6 linked regions of the Bombyx mori genome follow. The main gene of each other region encodes a partner of the protein of the gene in region 3 in a complex. Links are inferred from orthologs where the notes say so. Each region holds a gene or a part of one and is shown on either strand. Other genes may lie near its edges. The genes, in order: nuclear pore complex protein Nup98-Nup96, nuclear pore complex protein Nup85, nuclear pore complex protein Nup214, nucleoporin Nup188, PCI domain-containing protein 2 homolog and nuclear pore complex protein Nup205.

The links.
Region 1: nuclear pore complex protein Nup214 (region 3) and nuclear pore complex protein Nup98-Nup96 share a complex: the UniProt entries of both Drosophila melanogaster proteins name them as parts of the nuclear pore complex. The link is inferred for Bombyx mori from reciprocal best matches to the Drosophila melanogaster genes Nup214 and Nup98-96.
Region 2: nuclear pore complex protein Nup214 (region 3) and nuclear pore complex protein Nup85 share a complex: the UniProt entries of both Drosophila melanogaster proteins name them as parts of the nuclear pore complex. The link is inferred for Bombyx mori from reciprocal best matches to the Drosophila melanogaster genes Nup214 and Nup75.
Region 4: nuclear pore complex protein Nup214 (region 3) and nucleoporin Nup188 share a complex: the UniProt entries of both Drosophila melanogaster proteins name them as parts of the nuclear pore complex. The link is inferred for Bombyx mori from reciprocal best matches to the Drosophila melanogaster genes Nup214 and Nup188.
Region 5: nuclear pore complex protein Nup214 (region 3) and PCI domain-containing protein 2 homolog share a complex: the UniProt entries of both Drosophila melanogaster proteins name them as parts of the nuclear pore complex. The link is inferred for Bombyx mori from reciprocal best matches to the Drosophila melanogaster genes Nup214 and PCID2.
Region 6: nuclear pore complex protein Nup214 (region 3) and nuclear pore complex protein Nup205 share a complex: the UniProt entries of both Drosophila melanogaster proteins name them as parts of the nuclear pore complex. The link is inferred for Bombyx mori from reciprocal best matches to the Drosophila melanogaster genes Nup214 and Nup205.

Annotation. Positions count from the first base shown.
Region 1 is NC_085117.1:3,515,590-3,519,705, reverse strand, and holds the start of nuclear pore complex protein Nup98-Nup96, read right to left. Parts: upstream 2,801-4,116; 5' UTR 2,620-2,800; intron 2,586-2,619; exon of another isoform or gene 2,470-2,585; intron 2,339-2,469; exon of another isoform or gene 2,033-2,338; intron 1-2,032. UniProt on the Drosophila melanogaster protein: Part of the nuclear pore complex (NPC). Required for MAD import as part of the Nup107-160 complex and required for nuclear export of Moe probably via its association with Rae1. Plays a role in nuclear mRNA export.
Region 2 is NC_085123.1:525,397-528,628, forward strand, and holds part of nuclear pore complex protein Nup85, read right to left. Parts: exon of another isoform or gene 3,058-3,232; intron 2,913-3,057; exon of another isoform or gene 1,458-2,912; intron 1,432-1,457; coding exon 1,322-1,431; intron 520-1,321; coding exon 302-519; intron 23-301; coding exon 1-22. UniProt on the Drosophila melanogaster protein: Component of the nuclear pore complex (NPC) that seems to be required for NPC assembly and maintenance. Required for nuclear import of phosphorylated Mad via importin msk.
Region 3 is NC_085123.1:8,937,261-8,940,760, forward strand, and holds part of nuclear pore complex protein Nup214, read right to left. Parts: intron 988-3,500; coding exon 850-987; intron 546-849; coding exon 357-545; intron 276-356; coding exon 1-275. UniProt on the Drosophila melanogaster protein: Part of the nuclear pore complex. Serves as a docking site in the receptor-mediated import of substrates across the nuclear pore complex including emb, RanGAP and phosphorylated Mad. Protects mbo/Nup88 from proteasomal degradation at the nuclear pore.
Region 4 is NC_085111.1:4,872,385-4,876,339, reverse strand, and holds the start of nucleoporin Nup188, read left to right. Parts: upstream 1-1,155; 5' UTR 1,156-1,315; coding exon 1,316-1,335; intron 1,336-1,401; coding exon 1,402-1,615; intron 1,616-1,720; coding exon 1,721-2,325; intron 2,326-2,443; coding exon 2,444-2,564; intron 2,565-3,501; coding exon 3,502-3,615; intron 3,616-3,955. Other genes in the region: adk2 (adenylate kinase 2), read right to left, coding at 1-221, 433-534. UniProt on the Drosophila melanogaster protein: Component of the nuclear pore complex (NPC), a complex required for the trafficking across the nuclear envelope. Required for proper protein transport into the nucleus.
Region 5 is NC_085115.1:3,910,084-3,914,049, forward strand, and holds the start of PCI domain-containing protein 2 homolog, read right to left. Parts: upstream 2,801-3,966; 5' UTR 2,415-2,800; coding exon 2,199-2,414; intron 1,838-2,198; coding exon 1,669-1,837; intron 1,074-1,668; coding exon 265-1,073; 3' UTR 1-264. UniProt on the Drosophila melanogaster protein: Required for the export of nuclear mRNAs and involved in mRNA trafficking in the cytoplasm.
Region 6 is NC_085121.1:1,017,873-1,021,372, reverse strand, and holds part of nuclear pore complex protein Nup205, read right to left. Parts: coding exon 3,499-3,500; intron 3,018-3,498; coding exon 2,832-3,017; intron 2,362-2,831; coding exon 2,143-2,361; intron 1,570-2,142; coding exon 1,434-1,569; intron 1,040-1,433; coding exon 853-1,039; intron 118-852; coding exon 1-117. UniProt on the Drosophila melanogaster protein: Plays a role in the nuclear pore complex (NPC) assembly and maintenance, but with limited role in NPC permeability. Required for specific nuclear import pathways such as Mad import.

The sequences.
Region 1 (4,116 bases), on a different chromosome or scaffold from region 3:
GCTATTAATCAGTCTTATATAAAGAAACCTTTTTGTTTTATTTTAAAGTTTGTAAATTTTTTTGTTTATGTTACCCTATTATATTTTTTTTGGTATATAGTTGTTTTTATACAGCTACTTCAAATAGTACCCTTTTCATTTCGTAGTTTGTAAGAGTTTAATTATTTCAAATTTTATGTTTACTTTATAGTTTGTGGGTACATATAATATATTTTTATTAGTAGTACAATATATTATTTAGTCCAAACATTGTTTTATTAACAAAATACTGGTGCTTGCTTCAGCAATACACAATAACAGATGGCTACACTATCATGTAACAAAATGCAGTGTAAAATGTTCTTGAAATTAAAACATGTTTTATGAATAGGACTCTTTATATATAATGACCAAGAGTAGAAGGATCTTATTACACAGTGGTTCAGTGTGTTCAATTATGAAATCAATGTCATGACACAGATATTCCAAGAATGAAAGTAAAAGGTCACAAATGAGTCATGCTATAGTGAAATTTATAAGGAAAAATATTATTTAAATTTATTTCCCATATTAACTTTTTTATAGTCTTTGATTTCAGACAGATATGGGCCCAGGTGTTGTTCACCAACATTGTACTGTTCAAATTGAGACCTTACAACTCATATCTTGAGGTGGGTGGTGGCATCTACATTGCAGATCTCTTATGGGGTTAGGTTACCAGTTTATTCAAATGAGGCTTGTGGAGAGTATTAAGCGGTAGGCAGCAGCTTGGCTGTGCCCCTGGCATTGCTGAAGTCCATGGGCGACGGTAACCACTCACCATCAGGTGGGCCGTATGCTTGTCTGCCTACAAAGGCAATAAAAAAAAATTAACACCAAGTGGACCATGAGCTTGTCCACCCATCAAAGCTATAAAAAAACACTATCGGTAACCAATAAAACCATGGCCAAAATTATTATGCAACTTTTCAATCCTAAAGGCTATGTTTGAAACACATCCTTATTCTAAGACATGTCCTGTGTGCTTGAGAAATAGTGCACAGTATGCGGCAAAAACTATGACAGTTCCGGGTATTAGGAATGAGAACTGCTCCAGCTACAGCTGGTGTGGTTCTCAAACTATAGATAAATTTCAAATAGTTCATTAGAACGACAACCCCTTTAATAATTTTTTTAAAAGTATTGAAGTGTGAGCGTTCTCTTGGGTGTCCTGGCTTGGTTAAGTGGCTAGCAGAGCACATAATGCCACCACCCACCTAAAAACGTGAGATCCATGTCCCAGTTGTATAGTAATAAAAAAATTTAATGAAATAATTAGATTAAATTGGATCATAATTCCAAGATCTTATCTATTTGAATATGTTGGCCAAATCAACAATTTTAATCACCACTAAGCCTAATGTTATTTGGTTTCTTTGGAATTCCTTTTTATGGAGTTACTGCAGCCCTTAGACATCAACAACATAAATACCGCCAGCCACCTCGAGAGATGAGTTCTAAGTTAGTTGTAGCTTTTCCCTGCTTAAAGCCGTAATATATTGCTGCTTCATAGCAAAAACAGGCATGACAGTGGTATCTACCCATACAGGCTCATAGGACTCTGTAATGCCAGTGTGCAACGTGTTTAGTTTATAATACTGTTAGTAAGACCATAGCTTTGTTGGTAAAATAGTCAGTGAGAAGACAATTTTTTCCTCTGAATTCATACAGTTGGGAGTTATGATGTTTCTGATAGCCTAGAATAAAGTCATTTAGGAATAATTCAGTCATTCCACTTCAAAAGTTCATGTTTCGTGATGACTGCCATAATTGTCGGTTTATATGTGTTTGAAAATTAATAGAATGTCTGTCTACAAAGGCAATGTTACTGTTTTCAAAGACAACTGCTAGTTTCTCTCTAGAGACAATAAAAATATCACTAAGTTTTACAAAAAAAAAATACTTTTAAATTTTACAAAACTTAACCTTAATTAGATTTTAGTTTATATTTTATAAGATTAGTCGTTTTTAAAATCAAAAATAAAAATATTGAAAAAAGTATACAAATACCTACACTATTATCAGAATTTCTAACAATAGTATTTTTGAATTTTACTATTAAATTCTTTCAATTTATTCACTTTTATTGCAAAACGTATTTTAAATATAACTCTGTGTCTATTTGAATTCTATTAATTTTAAATTTTAGACGCAGTACTTAACCTAACCACAAGACGTTTAGAGAATTTCCGTTGGTATTGCACTTTATAGCGATAACTCGCAACCGTAAAGCATTGTTGCTGTATGCTTATTTATATTAGCTTTTTATTGCACAACGAATTTCACAATTTTATTAGAAAATTTTGCAACCAAAACGTGTGACGTCAATTTTGAGGTAAAACCAAACGAAATTAAGAGTGTCGCAATACTCGTTTGATTTATGTTTTTGAGGATGGTATAATAAGCAAGAAATTAAAAATAACGAAGATGTTTCGAAGATATTTCAATTACCTAATTTACAGTTTTCACTAATACTTCGTAACAAGTATAAACACAAATTTCGTGGTTATTATCTCAACTATTGTTATTTTATCAATTCAAATTAGGATCTTACAAATCGGTCGGGTAATCGACATAACGTTGGAAACTCAAGAATCTTACCGTGTTCGTATCGAAAGATTGTTGTGCGGCTTTAAATGCACGAAAAACCGTTCTCCTTTTCTTGTTCACTTTAATAGTACTTAATTACATATAATACTTGTTATTAAGAAGAAAACGCAGAATACATCGGCTTCAGTAGGTAAACAAAACAATGATCTGACCATCGACAATTTCAACTTAGATTGTTGAATCCATTTAAAAATTTAATTTTTAAGAAAAAAAAAACAAATCATGGACAAATAAATTTTAATAAGTTTTTAAAATATTACTACATAATCCAAGATCGCTAAAATTCGATTAGGGCAATGGCCAGACCGAGATCCCAAGTCACTAACATAGCTCATAAAATTAAAAAGTGGAATTAACAAGGCTGTTTTCTTATGCCAAGGAACTAAGAATTGATAAATCAGACTAGTTCATAAGTAACAACAATGCCAACTCCTTTGTTATGTAACTTAGATTAATATAAAACGTGTCTTCCAGACTTCCTTGGAACTTGAAAAGGGCTATACTTAGGTTTGCATGAAATTCGATAATAACGTCACACTCGTAGTTTAATTTATTAAAATCTGTTTGGAAGTCAAAATCTTCTTCACAATGATGTCGAAAAGTCACTTCAAAATATGGTTTTATTTAATTAAACCACAGAAGACTTTTTTTATTTTTTTTTCCTTTATAATTCTCTCTGCCTCTTCCTCTAATTTTACTGGTGGTGGATTATTACACTGTCTATTTCCGTCATGATCCAGCAAGTACTGGCTTAACCCGAGCTAACATTGACCCAGAACAAAAACTGTGCTTCGCTGAATCTAATACCGGATCGGAATCGCAACCCACAAAAAAAATCGATGAGAAAGACATTAGACTGTGTCTATGGGTTAATTGACGAGTTCGATGAGAGCGGTGATCAGTGCTTAGACAGTCTGAAAGCACCGAGAGTGAATCGGGAGTGTCCCGATGTGCCCCGTCGTCTGTGACGATTATGTAGTTAAAGACAGCCACAATAAAAAGGTTATCGCGTCGCACCGCTCTTTCGAAGAAGCGTTGTGACGGTACCTTCACGTGTTGGTTTTAATTGGATGTCGTTAATTCCTTACATACTAATGTGCTTCGAAGGCTATCTTGTAGAAACGGGATTGGCTGACCTGGAGTTTATGTGAGTGTGGAGCGCGTGAGCGAACACTACACTTGAATATGTCATGACGGAACGTATCCAAGTTTTCTAGAGTGTGTCCATAAACATGCGTTCCGGTCTTTAAAGGTTTTTTCTTATGAATGATGGATTACTGGTGGCTCAGAGGCCTTTCCAGTTTTACCAGGACAGGTGGGTGAGCACGGGCTCAGCCAGGAGGGTTGGGATTAGCTAACAGCTGCCCAAACGCCTCCAAACGAGACCTAACAACTCAAGAGCAACTGCTTCGTGAATGAATCTACTACCGGATCGGAATCACGACTCGCTGAGAAGATCCGGCGAGAAACTTAGCGGGCCGATGCATG
Region 2 (3,232 bases), about 8.4 Mb from region 3:
AACACGCGCCACACGCCCTCGCCTGCAACCAACCACCACACAATTCATCAACAAACTCATGCTGCATATTGGAAACGGTCTCGTAGGAGTTACTAGTTAATTTAACTTATTAATGGTTATCAGAGTTCAAATTAACTATGAAGCAGCTTTCCCATTTTTTTTATTTTCATAATACTACTCCTTCCTGGTTTTTATCAAATAATTTCTTAAGAATTCCATTTGGAAATCATATATTATATACCATAGGCACGAAAGACTGCCACATTCAAATTAAATTCATAGTAATACTTCATGTACTTACCAACTTCCAAAAGTCCATATTTATTAGCTTCAGCAACAACCCTCATAGCTTTGGCATGAGTATTGATCGGAATCCTCTCTAGCAACAAATGAGCTCGGCATAGACCTTCAGGGGGACATGAAGCAAGGTAGGATAGTCCGACGGACCAGAGTGACTTGTGCTCCATTATCAAGGTTCCATATTCAAGAATTAAACTGTCTCGGAGACGTTGAGTTACACTATAAAAATAATATTATTACTCAAATTAAGCATGAATGTTCTTCTTCTGGAGAAAAAAATGAGATTGCAGTAAAAAAATGTGACACTTATTTTCATTTATAAGTGAAGATAGCTAGGCTCACAGGCCCTGCTTGTGGTAACTTTTACCTATAGGATGAACAATGATACACAATGAATGCAATACTGCCACATATTTCAAGATTGATTAATACTTTTTAACTAAAAGTTGACACAATCAAATATTAAAAAATGATTAATTATGATTGGATGATTATTCATGATTAGTTTTAAAGATGGTTTGAACACAATCGAAACCTCAACATCAATGAGGTTAAATAGTTTTTTTTATATTGATATTTATTTATTGCTAAGATTGGTGGACGAGCCTACAGCCCACCTGGCGTTAAGTGGTCACCGGAGTCCAGAGACCTCAACAACGTAAATGCGGCCACCCGCCTTAAGATATTAATTCTAAATCAGTTTCTCAGTATGCCCCATTCTTAAAACCGAAACGTATTACTGTTTCACAGCAAAAACGGGAAAAGCAGTGGCACCTACCCATGCTAACTTACAAGGTGCCCTGCCACCAGTAACTATGCAATAAACAATGTTATTCCTTCACTGTTGAAGTCAATCGTGAACATTTGTTGAGTACAGACAAATTGATAACAGCCTGCAAGATTCAATAACTGGCACCATAGTATGGCTCGATGCAAACACAACGCATGTCATCTCTCGCAGGCCACAAGGACTTCAAAAAGTAAGAGACAATAAAACAGAAAATTCTCAAATCCTACTCACTTATTTTGGTGTTTATCCAATACTTTTAATTTTCCACAATGATACAATATGTCTGATAGATGTGTTGCAAACCATCCATTATCTGTTATATGCTGGATTTCATGAATTACCTGGAAATGTCAATTGGGTAAATCCAATTTTTAGTTAACTCAATTGTATTTTTTAATCTTGAGATTTAAAATTTGTTCTACCTTTGTATTGCCAAATTGAGGGCAATTATTCACTTATTTGTGCTGTAAATAGATGTATTAAGCTAACTGCTCAGGTTTGTCTATTAATATTAATTACACCATTTAAAATTTATTTATTTATTTTATTTATTTATTTATGTACACACAGAAAACAAGACACAGTACAGAGTAATAGGAAAATTATGTACAAAGGCACTGCTTATTTCTTTGAGAAATCTCTTCCAGCAGACCTGCGAGAGGATAATGAGAATAATAATAAAAAGTGATAAGTGTGTGTAGAACACATAACTAAAATAACAAATACAACATGAGAATTATAGCACATACACATAGCAAATATTAAAAGTAACACAGTAACACTCGTATATGCGAAGAGTATAGAACCATGATCATTCGGTTGATGATAGATAAAATTGTTTGACCTTGTATTTAAAAACGGAAACAGACTTGCAAACTCGGATGTCAGCCGGCAACGAATTCCACAGTCTGACCGCGTGCACAGTAAAGGAGTGAGAATAGAAATTGGTTTTGTGGGAAGGGAATAACAAAACAGAACGTTGGTTGGACCTGCAGGGAGCATCAGGAGAACGAATGAAAGAGAATCGCTCACGTAAATATAAGGGAGAAGTGGGCTTATGTAGGATATTGAATAGGAGACATAATATTCGAGTATTCCTACGAAGGCGTATAGGGAGCCATTTAAGTTCTTTGCGAAAATGAGAAACATGATCGAATTTTCTGAGATTGTATATAAAACGGATACATAGATTTTGCATCCTCTCAAGCTTGTTTGAGAGCTCCTCAGTGGCATCCAAGTAGCAGGCATCGGCGTAATCAATTATGGGTAGAATGAGAGCTTGGACGAGAGATATTTTTGTATGCTGAGGTAAGAAGCCCTGCAGACATCTCAACGAGTGCAAGGCAAAGTGCACCTTCCTACTAATCTCAGCAACGTGAGAACTCCACGAAAGATGTCGATCTACAATAACACCCAGGTTTTTAACTGAATCGGTTAGAGTTATTTGAGTCCCATCCAAATAAATTGGGGGGAGTATAGGATCGCTGAGTCTACTGCGCAATTGTTTACCCCCTATAATGATAGCCTGTGATTTTCCCGGATTAATGTGCAGACCGTAGGCTTTTGCCCATTCACTGATAGACTTCAGATCACTGTTCATCGCAGCAATAGCCGATTCAACTTCAGGCTCCGAGAAGTGGCGATATAGCTGGAGATCGTCTGCGTAGAGGTGGAATTTAGAAGATATAAGCCTAGTGACAGAGTTTATAAACACAGAAAACAGAAGAGGAGAAAGAACACCACCTTGGGGAACGCCCGCACTGACGTTCTGCCAATCCGAGAAAATCTCGTCAAGACGGACACATTGCGAGCGCCCCCGAAGGTAACTATCAAACCAGTTAATAGCAGATGAGGAGATATTGTTTGATTTGAGTATTTCGAGCAGAACATCGAAGTCAACAGAGTTAAAAGCGCTGCTGAAATCTAACAACACTAATAAAGTTAGTTGTTTGTTTTCCATGGCCCAGCGAATGTCATCGGTCACTTTTAGAAGAGCTGTAACCGTGCTGTGGCCCTTGCGAAAACCAGATTGGAAGGAGCTAAGAAGATTGTGGGAGAGGAGAAAAGACGACAGCTGACGGTGGACAATGTGCTCAAGGACTTTGGAAAGAAAAGGAAGTATAGATATAGGCCGGAACTGAG
Region 3 (3,500 bases):
GTCCGGTACATTAGAGATGGTGGGTGCAAATGGGGTAGTTGGTTTCATACCAAACAGGTTGGTAATAGGTTTATTAACCTTCTTGCTGTCGGCTGGTTTTGCTGCACCTTCAGGTTCGCCGGTTTCACTGGATTTCACAGAAGCGACAGTCACAGGTTTGGGTTCAAAAACCACAGGCTGTGTTTGAGCACTCGAAGACAAGCTATTTTGACTAAGTCCAAGATTCGCTGTCGACTTATTGGCCGGCACTAACGATTCCGCAGTAGCTGGTTGATCTAAATTTTACAACAAAAGCATCAGTTGGGTATAATTACAAAAAAATATGTACGAAGTCTTATCTTTTGTTTTAACCTTACTTGAGAACGGAGAAATAGGTGAGCATATTTTCTGTCCCATGAATTGCTTCAAGTCATTGTTAGGCGTTTGATTTGAAGACATATTAGGTACAGGCGATGTGTATGAGAATGGGGGTGGTGCATAGCAAACTCCAGTAAAATTAAAAGATTCAACAGGAATTCTAACTCGGGGTTCTTCGGGCTTCGGTTCTGGAATTGTTATTATTATTTTATTAATACATTATTTACATAATCTGTTGAAAAATTTTTGCAAATTTTCAGGCTTAAACAACTAAATTGTGGACTAAAAATAGAAAATAAGTACACGGGCACTGATTATTTTTCTAAGTAATCTCCTCATAACACACAGTAATTGCAATCCTTGTTTACATTGATTAGGCTAAGCATTACTGACATTGAGTTGGGAAGGCGATGAATGACCAGTATGATTAAAGATATTTAGTACACACATAAGTATGAAATATTCAACAAACATGCAATCATACAACCATACCGGTAAACAATGTTCTAGTGACGTTTTGAAGTCCCGGTACTGAGGGTTTGCTCTGAATGGGCGAGAACGGCGCTACTGTCTCGGTAAATTGTTTTGTTTCCATTTTAGGTTCAGCTTTAATAACATCTTTAAGGGGCACTGAAAATAAGACAAGGAAATTAGATTTCTGTATTATATGAGCATTTCTCAAAATTATTGCACAATAGACTTTAGCCTCTGTCCCATTTTTTTAATATTTTGTTCCGGCTAATATATTAGTTCATTACTACTTTTTATAAATTGTGTAAGCAGTATAACTACTCTACTTATTAGAAAGGAAAAAAACAGATTTAAATACAATGAGATTTTTTCATTAAAAATATATATCATAAATCAGCTTCAACCAGTTGTATGAAAAGTGCAGTGTCCCAATCTCAATATCTTACCAAACCATCGATCTTTAGTTGAATGGACATGGGCATTGTATAAATAAAAAATATTATTTATTTATAGCCATAAGTCACAATTCATCCTAAAACATCCTTTTTAGCATTACTTTATAATTAAATTTCTAATTAATGATTTTAACTTGTCCCGTAAAAAGTTCCACCTAGAAATTCCAGTTTTTGTTACCATAATTCTGAAGAAATATGATAATCGATTAATGCAGTTATATTTTAGAATAATGGTAGCATTAGCCGGCTTGGCATCCGTCTTGTTTTAATTTCGACTAGTTCTTTCTGGTGCCGGTACGAACGGTAAAAGTCAATATTTAAGCTAGCGGTCAAAAAAAAAATTCCACCTTTGTTACTCATAAAACATAGATAAGTGCAGATTTTATTGTTATTTCACTTAACCTACTATTAAAGCTCCCATTCTTGATTTCGTTAATCAAATCGAAATAAGAGTAATCGTGTGAGTTACATGTGTTTACAAATAAAATGACATGTTGTTCTTGATTTGTTACTTCTTTTTTTGTTACTTTTGTGTGGTAACGTATAAATGGAAAAGAGAGTAACAAAATAGGAAATCATTAGGCTGAGTATATATAATATATTATTATTATTATTTAACTTTCTGTTTAAAATAATTTTATAATAATTATTGCAATTACAACGGCGTCAATTTCTTTGTTTTTTTTGTTGTACTATTACAGATTTGTACTATGAATTTATTTTATATTATTTATTTATATAAATCAGTAAGTGAGATGTCAGAAGACGAAAAAAATAAACAAAGACAAAAGTGGCGTGCCTGTGTTTACACCTTGGCCTATCATGGCCTTTTTCTTCGACACATTTTATCAAGGCACCGATATGTTATTCCAGATTCGTCTAATAATCCGCTGCATTTTGTATCAAGTATGAACGCTGTAGAAATAAAAATATTATTACGTTGTCCATTTTTTTGGTGCCAAAGATGTGATTATGATTTATACGATCACTATCCAGCCGATGAATGTGATTATTGCTATTAAAGGTTTTTACTGAATTAGAAACCGTTAGGCCTCCTTTTCATTATGATTAAAAAAGAACTGAAACGATATTTTTGTTACCTACTCGTAAATGTTCCTAAATATTTGAATAGGGTATTTTTTAAACGAAAAATGTTTAAATGTCCTTTGACAGCAGTTCATACTATAATCTACATATATAAATATAATTATAATTATTTTTAACACGGGTCAAAGTTTATTATAATTTGAACTACTTCGAAAACTAGCCTTATAAAATCCTAGTTTGTTACCAATATTCCATTTTTGTTACTGTCCCATAAAAGCGGACACGTATTTCTTTTCAAATTTTTTATTTATTATCTTAAAACCTGCAATTTTTTTTAAAAAAGCAAAAGAAGTGTATTGTTATTTCATTTGTGAACGTATTTAAAAATAAAACAACATCAAAACTTCTTTACTGTGATTTTAAAACAAAGTTGTGGGCAAATGGTAACGTAAAGGATATATTACAACTTATATAAGTAACATTTTGCTGTAAATGTTAACAGTTTTTTATAGACACGTAAAATGATGGTTATGTCACCCTATTGAAATGCATAAAAGTTGACGAAATTGATTTGGTGTTTTAATTAACGTAATTGATAGACGGTAACAAAATAAGAATATTTCTCCACCTTGGTATATTTCTACACATTTCTCTACTTTATTACATATTAAACCTCAGAACAAACCTCATATTCAAAATCTTTAGACACCTATCTACAAATGAAAACAAAAAAAATGCTCTAGTTTAACATTTTTATTTTAGTACATTATTTTATTGGTGGTGCATTTATTTTGAGAAATGCTCATATATATTGTAAGGAGCCTCCGAAACATCGCCATCGAATACTCGGCAAGCCTATATAAGGAGGGTACCTAGATAATTCCGCACATTTTGCTCGTTACACTCGCAGTGCACGGACGTTTGGCGATAATCAGTGTTAGATGTACCCCCACTAGCTAAACGCACTATACCGTTACCGAGTAAGCCTATAAAAGCACCGTATTTGGCGCGGCTCGGCGTGCTCACGTGCGACTGCTCGGGTCGTATCTGGAGGGCAGAATCTTCTTTGTCGCGGTCGAGGGCGCACGGTCTTCCGTGCGTCCCATTACGGCCGGGGTTCCCCAGGGTAGTGTCCTATCACCTATTCTATACGCCCTCTACACTAACGAC
Region 4 (3,955 bases), on a different chromosome or scaffold from region 3:
ACAGTTCTAGGGAATCCATCAAGTAAGAAACCATTCTTGCACTCAGGTTGATCCAAGTTCTTGTCAATCATATCAACCACCATTTCATCGGAAACAAGTTTGCCCTCATCCATGACCTTCTTAAGGCGTCGTCCCAGGTCTGATCCCGATGAGACTTCAGCACGCAGCATGTCACCAGTGGATAGGTGACAAACACAATACTTTTCTTTCAGACGAGGAGCCTAATGATAATAAACAAGTTCTCATGTATTTCAAAAATTGAATAACTGGCTTCATTATTGAATTTCTAATTTATATTTCTAATTATTAAATACTAATCATTAATTAAGTATTTATAATTATTAGCCTCAATGATACTTAAGTAATAATCAAATATTCACTATTAGTTATAATATGAGATAAAGAAGGCCAAAGTTCAATTAAACCACATACCTGAGTCCCCTTACCGGATCCAGGAGGGCCAAGTAGCACGGCCCTTATTCCTAAAGGATCCTCATCAGGTTTTAGTTTCGTGGCTGCAGCGGCCGGTGCCATATCATCAAATTCTTAAGCCTTCAATTAATTAGAGCCCTGTACAGACAAATCTGTCAAAGTTAGAATTGCAGAGGTGTTGTAACTACGTTTAGATATGCGTAAATTAGCACGTGATATAGTAATCAAAAGTTCAATTGCAATTTACATGATATCTTAAAAAATTATCAAAACTTTTTAAATGAATTTAATTCCACTCACCGAAATAGCCGACAGGCAAAGGGAAACAAAGTCCATAACGAAAAAATTATAAGGTGAGAAAAGGTCAAAGCCATACATATTTAATTCAAAACAAGTGGATTAAATAAAAATAAAAACACTTAGAATGAGGTTAGAACTCATCTCGAATTTAAATAAAACTGTAATTAAAGCATTGGTGAATTTTGTGAGGAGGCTCCAAAGGACTTTTTGAAGTAGCGGAGAAGTTATTTTTTTTATGAATTTAGTTATTAAAATTTTAATCAATAATAAATTGTTTGTATTTTTTATTTTTATGTTAATCAAATTGATTTAATTCTTTGTTTAACAGACGAAGCTCAATTGTTTTAAAAATATGAATGACTTATGTACTCTTTGCCTCTGAAATCGATAAAAAATATATACTTTGACAACAATAGTTGCACTTGACATTAGCATCATAGCCTCGCATAACCTGAAAATGAAGAGGCGGTAAATATTTATACGAAACTGTTTTCTATAATTTCCACTTTTAAAATTTTATTCTGTACCTAATATATGTCAAACCGGCTGGTCGTACTAGTTCTGTACTGCAATCAAGTTAAGTATGACAACGAGTAGTGTAAAGTAAGTTTCGTTCGTTAATTTTAAGTATTTAGTTTAAGCATTTCTGTATTTAACTACAAATTTCAGTTATTGGAAGAGGCTATGGCGCTGGACAACTTCGGAGAGTCTGACTACAGAAGAATTGACCAAAATTTTTGATACAAAAGAAGTAAGAGATGGACTTAAAATTGGATTGGCTAGTTACAAACAAAACAAGCCTGAGGACTTTACCAAACTTCAGTCACAGTATCCGGATCAAACAAAGCTGCTCACTATAGTGCAGACACTTCAAAATTATATTGTGAGCTGATATTTCAAATATATTACGTTTAATAAAATATTTGGGAATTTTGTTGTGTGTAATTCCTGTAGTTTTCAGTTAATAATACTATGAATTTTCTTGCAGGATGTCGACTGTTTTCAATTATGGGAAATATTAAAAAACTATTTGTGTGATATATCGTATGGTACACCTGAGAGTGCATTAAAGAATGTTGCATTTGTTGACACCCGACCTACATATTTGTCTCCCAAAGTATGGAGCTTCTATTATTCTGAGCGACTCTTTCTACTCAAATTGCTTCAGTACATCATTCAGCTTAAAGATGATGCTCAATATAAATATCAAAAGGAATTCACCAAGATTATTGAAGATATTGGCATACAAAACATTAAAACCTCACTCATATCTCAATTTGAAAAGGTCTTAAGTGCTGCTCCACCATCTAGAAAAATATTGAGTGATTTTTCTAATGATTCTGTGCGACACACTTGGTTAGAGAGTAATTTGAGAGAACAATTAGCAATACTTCAAATACTCTTAATAATTGCGGAAAAGAACACATTTCAAGCTGAAGAATTCAAAAAATTGTTTAATTTGTTCATAAAACACAGTTTTGGGAAGAATTATGGGTTCAGTGAGTTCCTGGGAGAAAGACACAGAGAGCAATGCCTCTGTATTATGTACATGGAAGTTTGCCTGTTTATGATCATTATTGATCATTTGAAAATGTAAGAATTTGGTGTAAACATTGTAATTTATTTTTCATTGTTTTATTCAATTTATTTTTGGCACTATATATAACATATTGGTGTTGTAATTTACTTTGGCTTGGCTGTGACATTTCAGTGATAATTTATCAACATGGATAGAAAATACTAAAGAAGTTGTAGAAACTGAATTGACAAAAATTCAAATGTGTACAGAACACAGTGCCATGCTTTTGACGTGGATGCTGGTAACGTTGCAGGTAATTATCAGTTTTTTAATTAAGGTATTCATCATGCAAAGCTTACTTGAAGGTTTAGGTGCTTTTAGGCACTACAAGCACCGGTCATCGTCCTCGTCGAAACCGTCGCTTGCGACGAAGGGCTCGACGAGCGAATTAACCCACAGACACAGCCCACTGAGTTTCTCGCCGGATCTTCTCAGTGGGTTGCGTTTCCGATCCGGTGGTAGATTCTGCGAAGCACTGCTCTTGCTAGGGTCAGTGTTAGCAACCGGTTTGAGCCCCGTGAGCTCACCTACACACGCTAGGGTAAGCTGAAATAAACTCTCAAGGCTATCAGCATAGGTAGGAAAAAAAACCAGAAGGTTTATAATCAACGTTGCTTAAGAATAATATTGTTGAAAGAAAAACAACCAATATCTGATTTTTATGTAATAATATATATATATATTATTACATAAAAATATATATATATTTATAGGTAATAAACCCGAATGTGCTGTTTTGAGACACTGGGTTCATATACGTACCCATATACCAGGAGCCTCAAAGCAGCGCAGATTTGTGAATTAAATGTTTAAATGTTTTAATTGCTAATTTTAATTTTAATTTTAATTTTACTAACATAGTTCTAAGTATTATTCTACTTACAACATAATAATATGGACTTAAGAGGGTCTGAATTAAATGAATTTTATTTTTTTTATTTTTTATGTCACAGCTGGGCAGAACAAATGACAAATCTTTTTTAAAGGATTTATGTAGTGCAGAACTTTTACTATCTTGTAGAGTTCTCTTGACATTCGTTACATAATAATATGAAATACTTACTAAATATATAGCAAGTCAACGACATTGATTTGTAGAAAATAGCCCTGTAATCTATACCAAAAAGTATATTTACACTACTCAGTAAGGCTCATAAATTTTTTTGTTGAACATTGTGTTATTGTTACAGAGTGATCAACATGTAAAATTATTTGAAAGCCAATATCAACATTTTGGCAGTACTGCAATGAAGATGAAAGTGTTTGAGTTTCTTCAACAGATGCTGAACAGTCCTGTATTCTCAGTAAGTATTCATTCACACATTCATTACCGTAACCTTTAAAAATATTTTGTGTTATTTCATATCTATTCTGAATTTTCAATATAAATTATTATCTAACATAAGATTAAGATAAATGAAGGAACCTTTCAACGTTTTATTTGAACTGCTTACTCATTTTGGTTTGGTAAATGTTACCCTTAACAAACAAGACAAAATATAGGTATATAAAGGAAAGTCCTAAAATCCTGACTTGATTTATAACTGAAAATTTGTATTTTCATATACATCGTCTGTCTATCTATCTGCATGTCTGTCTATCTATCATGATCATTCATTTAGGACAGCCTTTCCCAAAGTAGGC
Region 5 (3,966 bases), on a different chromosome or scaffold from region 3:
TTCTATTTTATTTAATGACAACCCTAAACACATTAGTGCTACTAAAATAAAAAAACTGGACTACTGAACTGTTTTGTGTATTTTTATGGATATTATATGTAATCAAAAAGAAAGTATTTAAATAGTGAAATTGCGTCAGATATACAATTGCTCATCATCACATTTCACTTAATCAGCCTTTATGCTAATGGAATCTTAATTTTTATTAAAACAATCAAAAAATTAAGTGTGTATTCCCCTAGGTATTATTTAAATGGTATAAATTTAATACAGACTAGATAATGGAGGAAAAGCATTTTGTTTACTGACAACCACTTTCTTGTGTTGGTATGAGATGTATCCTTTGATTTTTCCATCATATATGAGATTTGCAACAATACATTGAGTTTCATCTGAATCAACATCTTCCTGTCCCATGATTTGTAATGCTGCCTCGAAGCTGGCTATGTCTATCTGATGTGAATTCTCCGCTAAATATACTTTCCTAAACAAATTTCTGTATGCTGTAATCTTTAATTTTTCTACAATCAAATAAATACCAGCCGTTATGAAGAACTTTTCATGTTCCTCCATAACCATATCGATACCACGCAAATCTCCATTTTTCACAGCTGATATTAGATCCCAGAATTGTAGCAAATCATATTTCTCTAGTAAATATTTTGCGGGCATGAAACCCAACAGCATTTTCACAGGAACTAAATAAGTTAGAATGAGCCTTTTATTTCGTATGCTTCTTCTGTGACAATTTTCAAAAGCAAACGATAAGTATTCATCAGCTAGACGATAGTCTGAGTCAAACATGGCTTTACGACCCACAAAATATCTGTATGTAATTTGTTGGGCCAGTGGGAATTGATCTTTGAATGGTGAAGAATCAATGGCTCTAATCAATGGTTTGCAAAGGTGGAGCTTGTTTATCCTGAAATATACTTTAAGAAGTTGGTTTACAAGACACAACATGCCTATCTTTTTGGTATCCACATCTGAAGCTCTGTTGTCAGCAGCACAGACTCTGAAGCAAGCTAATAAGCTCTCTGCTGCTTTTTCCATAATTTTACTGCCATTTTGAGCTGAAATATTGACAAATGAAATTAATTGTACAGAATACAGATTATTTAACACAATATTGACTAAGACAACAACTCATGCAAGTATTTGAGATAATTTCGTTTTTTCGACATTGTACCACCATAACAGAGTTGAATCCTACCACCTGTGAATATACTGAGCACTTAGGGTTAGTCATTCTTCAAACAAGACTAAGGAGACAAATCTTGAGTAGAAGGGAACCTGCACTTAAACAGCCACCAGATGATGAGTGGTTACTAGAGTCTGTAGACGTTACTTTGTGAAGTCTGCCTTAAGTGATGAAGTTTAAGGCTGAATTGTATAGTGTAATTGCTGCACTATTCTTCAAGCTAGAATACATGATTGCTTTAGTACAGAAACAAGCAGTTTGGTAATACATACCTAGTTGTGCAAACTTATAACACAACCGACCATCATAAATACTATAAGATCTCATTTCTATGACACATTATTTTCCTTGGCATTTGAAGATTTCAATATGAGTACTCCAGGCATCTTATTCTTAATGCCCTAATCACTTGATACTATTACCATCTTATCTTAGCTCTTGAATGATGTATGCAAATTCATACTTACGGCTAGATGCCTCTGCTTTCTGTGCAACAAGTCTAAGATCTAAACATGCAGCATACATAACCGGAAGGCACCAGTTCTCTTCTTTCTGTCCCTGTAATAGCTTTACGACAGAGGCCACACATATACTCTGATGATCGTATGCCTCAATGTAATCACTTGCATATAATGCCTGGAATGCAAAGCATTTTTTTTTATTGCTTAGATCGGTGGATGAGCTTACAGCCCACCTGGTGTTAAGTGGTTACTGGAGCCCATAGATATCTACAACGTAAATGCGCCACCCATATTGAAATATAAGTTCTAAGGTCTCAGTCTCTGACCGAAATGCATTACTGCTTCTGACTACTACTGACTCAAGAGGTCTTGCCACCAGTAAAAGTATTTGACGAGAAGCTAATAAAACGATATATTTAAAATACACTTAACAGGTAATGTTCGCTGTAGTAACGGCCAGATTAATAATGGTACATTTACTATTTTTTAATCTATATTTATCAATTTAAAACCAGAATTAAATTCATATATCTCACCTTAAGACATGATAAGTGTGCAATTACAAGTTCATCTAATGGAGCAACACAATTTCCTGTGACAAGGGTTGCAATATCGCTAGATAATAGATTCCTATTGTAGACATGTTCATCTCTTAGAGACAACAGTCTAGACAATATGTTACCTTGTCCCGTTCTGTACATACGTTCCACACATTGTATGTATTGATTAAGAGTGCCAGTTATCATCGACATTGTGGTTAGGTATTACTGGATTTTTAACTTTGAATGACTAATTTTAATATACAAAATTACAAGAATGTAGTTTTTCCTATAATTTCGTCAATCGACATTTCATGATTGATATTTATCAAAGAATCAGAGTTTATTAGCGCAAAATCGGTCTCATGAAAACATTGAAATTTTGTTTTCTTTATATGTCATTTCCACTTTCCACAGCTCAACTGGAGAAAGGATAAGTTTTTCATTCCTTGGATAGGCACACGGAAAGAAGTCTATACCGCTAAAGCATTTGGAAGGCCAAGACTATACTTATTATGTGAAATGGAATGTAATTAAGTGAAATCAAATGTTTATTTATTTTTTTAGATGAAGTGAATTATAACAGCGGCAACCATACATTTTTTTTTGTTTGAGACACAAATTGCAGGCATCATACTGTACTAACGATGGGTTAATACTGATATTTGTCAATATACAAATATATTCGTTATGTAATATTATAATACCTTAACTAATACGTGAATATCCTGATATCTTAATATACTTTGATAAAACGGGTAAACGAGTTAAACCTAATACGGTATTCGTGAAATAAGTTAATAATCATAGATAATACACATTAGTTATTAATAATATAAATAGTATATTGTATCTAGGAATTTGACTTCAAGGAATCAAGAAATGAAGGTTCAAACATTAAAAAGTAATGCATTTAAAAATTCCCAAGCTGTATTACGAATATCTTAATGAATACTAATATATCGGTCTCACCCTTATACTGTACTGTGTTCCATTTAAAAAAGTAACCAGTGCAGCTATTAAAGGAATGGCTTCGCAGTATACTAATTTTACATTATATTTTACAGTGCTCCCAGTGTACATCGGAACATAGCCTTAAGCATTAACACAGGTGCGAAAAAGCTAGTGAACCACTGTTTTATACGTTTAAGCATAAAGTAAATGAACAAAATGTAACAAGTCACATTAATCCTTTTCTCACGATCCCGCCTAAAGGTCTTGAGCTTTTTGTGTCTGTTACACGAGAGTTTGTTATTTCTACCAGATAGCCAAAGGGAATCTATTTTTATATTAAATTGATGTACCGTATTTGCAGCTAAAAAATAGATAATATGTAATGCCTACACCTATCTGACGCAAACGATACATATTAAAACGAACATCAATCTGTGCACTTAATACACGAGAAGGCTTGGGACTTTTTGGCGGGAATGCGAAGAGTGAAGTTGTGAGATTTGTTTTATTAAATTTTTGTCTATTAAGTGTTTCTTCAGGTTTAAATGTGTAATAACGGTGGTTTATTAACTATTTAGTATCTGTGAAAGTGCTCGTTCGTCCCGTTTCATCTCGTCTCGTCTCGTCTCACTTCGTTTTCATTTTCATTTTCATTTTATGACATTTCGTGCATTGTTTTATATTAATCAGCTTCCTTCATTTCATACCACTTTTCATAAAAATAAAAATAAGACTTGACTTAAAGGTCCTACTTACCAGGTCATAAAATCCCTAAAAATTAAAAAAGAAGACTTTGTTGTTCTTTATTTAC
Region 6 (3,500 bases), on a different chromosome or scaffold from region 3:
GGCAGCACGTGGTGCAGCAGCGAGAGGACGCCCTCCTTGGCGCGGCGCAGCGCGGCGTCCTCCCCGCCGCCCCCGCTCCTCCACTCCTCCGCTTCCAAGCACTCCACGAACCCGTGTCTGGTGCAACAGATACTGTGACGTTAGCGAGGCGGACCTGACGCAGTCGACTGGCGCGCACATACACCAGTGGAAAACAGAAATTCAATTATAAATTTGAAAATATTTAAAAAATATTAATTTTGTTAAAAAAAAATACAAAATAAAGAATCTAACATGAGGTGTCGGTGATTCTGGTCGAATTTTGATCATACCAGTAATTACAATATCCAAGACATATCTCTTACTTCTTTTCCGCTGGATGTGTTGTTGCCCATATGAATAGGTACCTAAATTCCGCCTGCCTATATCGCGAAACTATGAGTTGTCCCAGTTCGAAGAGTGGTGAATGAGACCGTGTATCTATCTCAAAACGTTACTTATTGGAGATAGGACCTCTTATGAGTCCGCGCGGGTAGGTCACACCATTCTGCCTACTTCTGCCGTGAAGCAGTAATGCGTTTCGGTTTGAAGGGCGGGGCAACTGTTGTAACTATACTGAGACCTTAGAACTTGTATCTCAAGGTGGCTGGCGCATTTACGTAGTAATTGTCTATGGACTCCAGTGACCACTTAACTCTAGATGGGCTGTGAGCTCGTTCACCCATCTAAGCAAATAAAATAATAAAAATTAAAGAACGTGTTCATTGACAGTCGATCCATACTTATGGGAAGCGTTATATAGCTACCAGATATCTTTACTCGGTTCAAAAATGGAACATGCGTTATTTCTGACAGTGAGGGGGGGGGGCGCACCGGATCTGCGCGGCGAGTGCGGGCGTGCGCGTGGCGGCGGCGAGCACGTGTCGCGCGGCGGGCGGCTGCAGCGCGGCGCGGCACAGCAGCTGCACGGCGCGGCTGGCGGGCAGCGGCGCGGCGCCGGCCAGCCCCGCCACGCGGCAGCACGCCAGCAGTCGGCAGCCGCTCTCCGCGCTCTCAGACTCTGTACGCACCGACCACATGTTGTGTCACTTTACAAACTCCTTTATTATTTCGACATTGTAATTGCCACAGTGCTCAACTGTGATGCATTTATAAATAAAACTGTTAGAAATTCAATACACCGTCATCTATTAGATACTTAGCCAACCCGGAAAATAAATAACTCATACCGACATTTGTTTTGAAACTTATAGAACTCACAAATATCACTTTGTAGATTTTAAAGAAATCATTTGCAACAAAGAGATATTGTGATTATAAATTGATATGAAAACTACCCTATCCATCAAGTTGGACCTAACAAGCCACAGTGTCCAAAGTACAAAAATTTATCCCGGACAAACAACATGATACAATTTTTTATATATTTGAAGATACCAAAAAAAAACACACACCGAGTATAAGTTTAGAAAGCCCGATGATAATGACAGATTTCCCCGCCTCCAGCGCCGCCGCGCCCAGCTCCCGCTCGAGGGCGAGTGCGCGCTCCAGCATCTCTAGGACGCTAATGAGGCACTGCTCCACGTACTCCTGGAAGTTATTTGATCTCACTGTAGTCATACCGACAATACCTCCAATAATATTTACATAGATGTTTCTCAAATATTATCTAGTCGTGGCGCCGTTAGGGAGCGCGCACCGCACCGCCAAGAACCTGCAATTCCCCAGAACTGGTGGTAGTACCTCTTGAGAGTCCGCGCGGGTAGGTACCACCACCCTGCTTATTTCTGCCGTGAAGCAGTTATGCGTTTCGGTTTCAAGGGTGGGGCAGCCGTTGTAACTATACCATTTACGTTGTAGATCTATGGGCTCGAGCAACCACATAACACCAGGTGGGCTGTGAGCTCGTCCACCCATCTAAGCAATAAAAAAAAAACATTGGCCGCTTCATGACGCAAGCTAAGAAAATTATTTTATAAAACACCTATTGAAATAAGACAAAAGGCACTAAATAATGTGCTTTACCTAAAAAGTTGGCTACATCAATGATTACTTCAGATTATTTTTATTCTAATAAAGTATAATTTTTATAGACGACTCTTGTTCCTCTGTTAGCCGCAACAGGATGCCCGCACGGTAGCTACGCAATACGAAAGCTCTCACATTCGCAGATCCAGGCTGCTTCTCGAGCAGTTCGTAGGTTTGGTCGAGCGAGGAGAGCAGGAGCCGCAGCAGCTCGGACTTGGTGTGCAGCTGCAGCAGGATCCTGAAGCCGGGCGGCGCCGGACACTCCGCGTCTCCGCCCGCGGAGGGGAAGTCCGCGGGGGAGGGGGTGTACTGCTCCAGCCACGTGCCGAACAGCCGGAAGCACTGCGATAGGATCTGGAACGTATTTCAACAGTAGTGACGCACTTAGGAACTTGAAGTCAATTTTTTGAAGTGAAATTTCTTTAGAATCGTTGTGATTTAAAACTCGATGAAACGAAAAAATAAGTCCATAGAGACACAAACACATAAATGTATAGGATTCAGCCGGCGAGAGAACGAGATAGAACACATTAGACGTTCTCGGTCTCCTCTTTGTGCGACTCTTCGTAGCATCCCCACTATCGTCTACTAAACATTATCCATATGTATGTTCCTGTGTAGTGGGATAGTCAGTATATCTATATCTATATCTTATTTATAAGTTTCACTTCTACCGTGTGTGACTTGCACACACACACACTTTTTTTTGAATAAACATACGTATCGCCAGCCGTATTTTAAGTTCCGGACTGGCGCCCAGCGATCAGCGAGACTTGTCGACAGTAAATTGTTGTTGTCAGTCGGCAGTAGTGCGAGGCTCGTACCTGCCACTTCTCGTGCGGGCGGGCGTAGGGGCGGTGCGGCGCCGGCAGCGCGAGGCGCAGCAGCGCGTGCTGCACGTAGGGCTCCACGCCGGCCGCCAGCGTGCGGGGCGGAGGCGCCGCGCTCAGCGACTGCAGCAGCGACAGGAAGGCGCGCGACAGCGGGTACTCCTCGATGCGGCACTCCACCTGACGACACCGACATGTCTCAACCTGCTCGTGCGGTTATATCTAACGAATGTTCCTCCGACGATCATTGACTCAAGTTTTTCAAATTTTATCTTTTGGTAAACGATTTCCAAAATATAAGTAAAGCTGTCCAATCTATACTAATAATATATAGAGGAAAAATTTGTTTGCTTGTTTGTATTGAATAGGCTCCGAAACTACTGAACCGATTTGAAAAAATCTTTCACTGTTTGGAAGCTACACTATCCCCGAGTGACATAGGCTATATTCTTTTTTTTTTTTAAATAGGGATCGTTGCTAAAACTCCAATAATGTAACCCAAGGTTATTCAAAACTATCTTTATAATTTTCTTTTTTTAGTAAGTAGACGCAAATAAAAGGGTTGATGTGTGTGTATTATGATGGTTAATTTGGATTTTTTTATTAAAGACCCGAGCGAAGCTGGAGCGGGCCGCCAGTATGAGATAAAGGAAAACCTTGCCT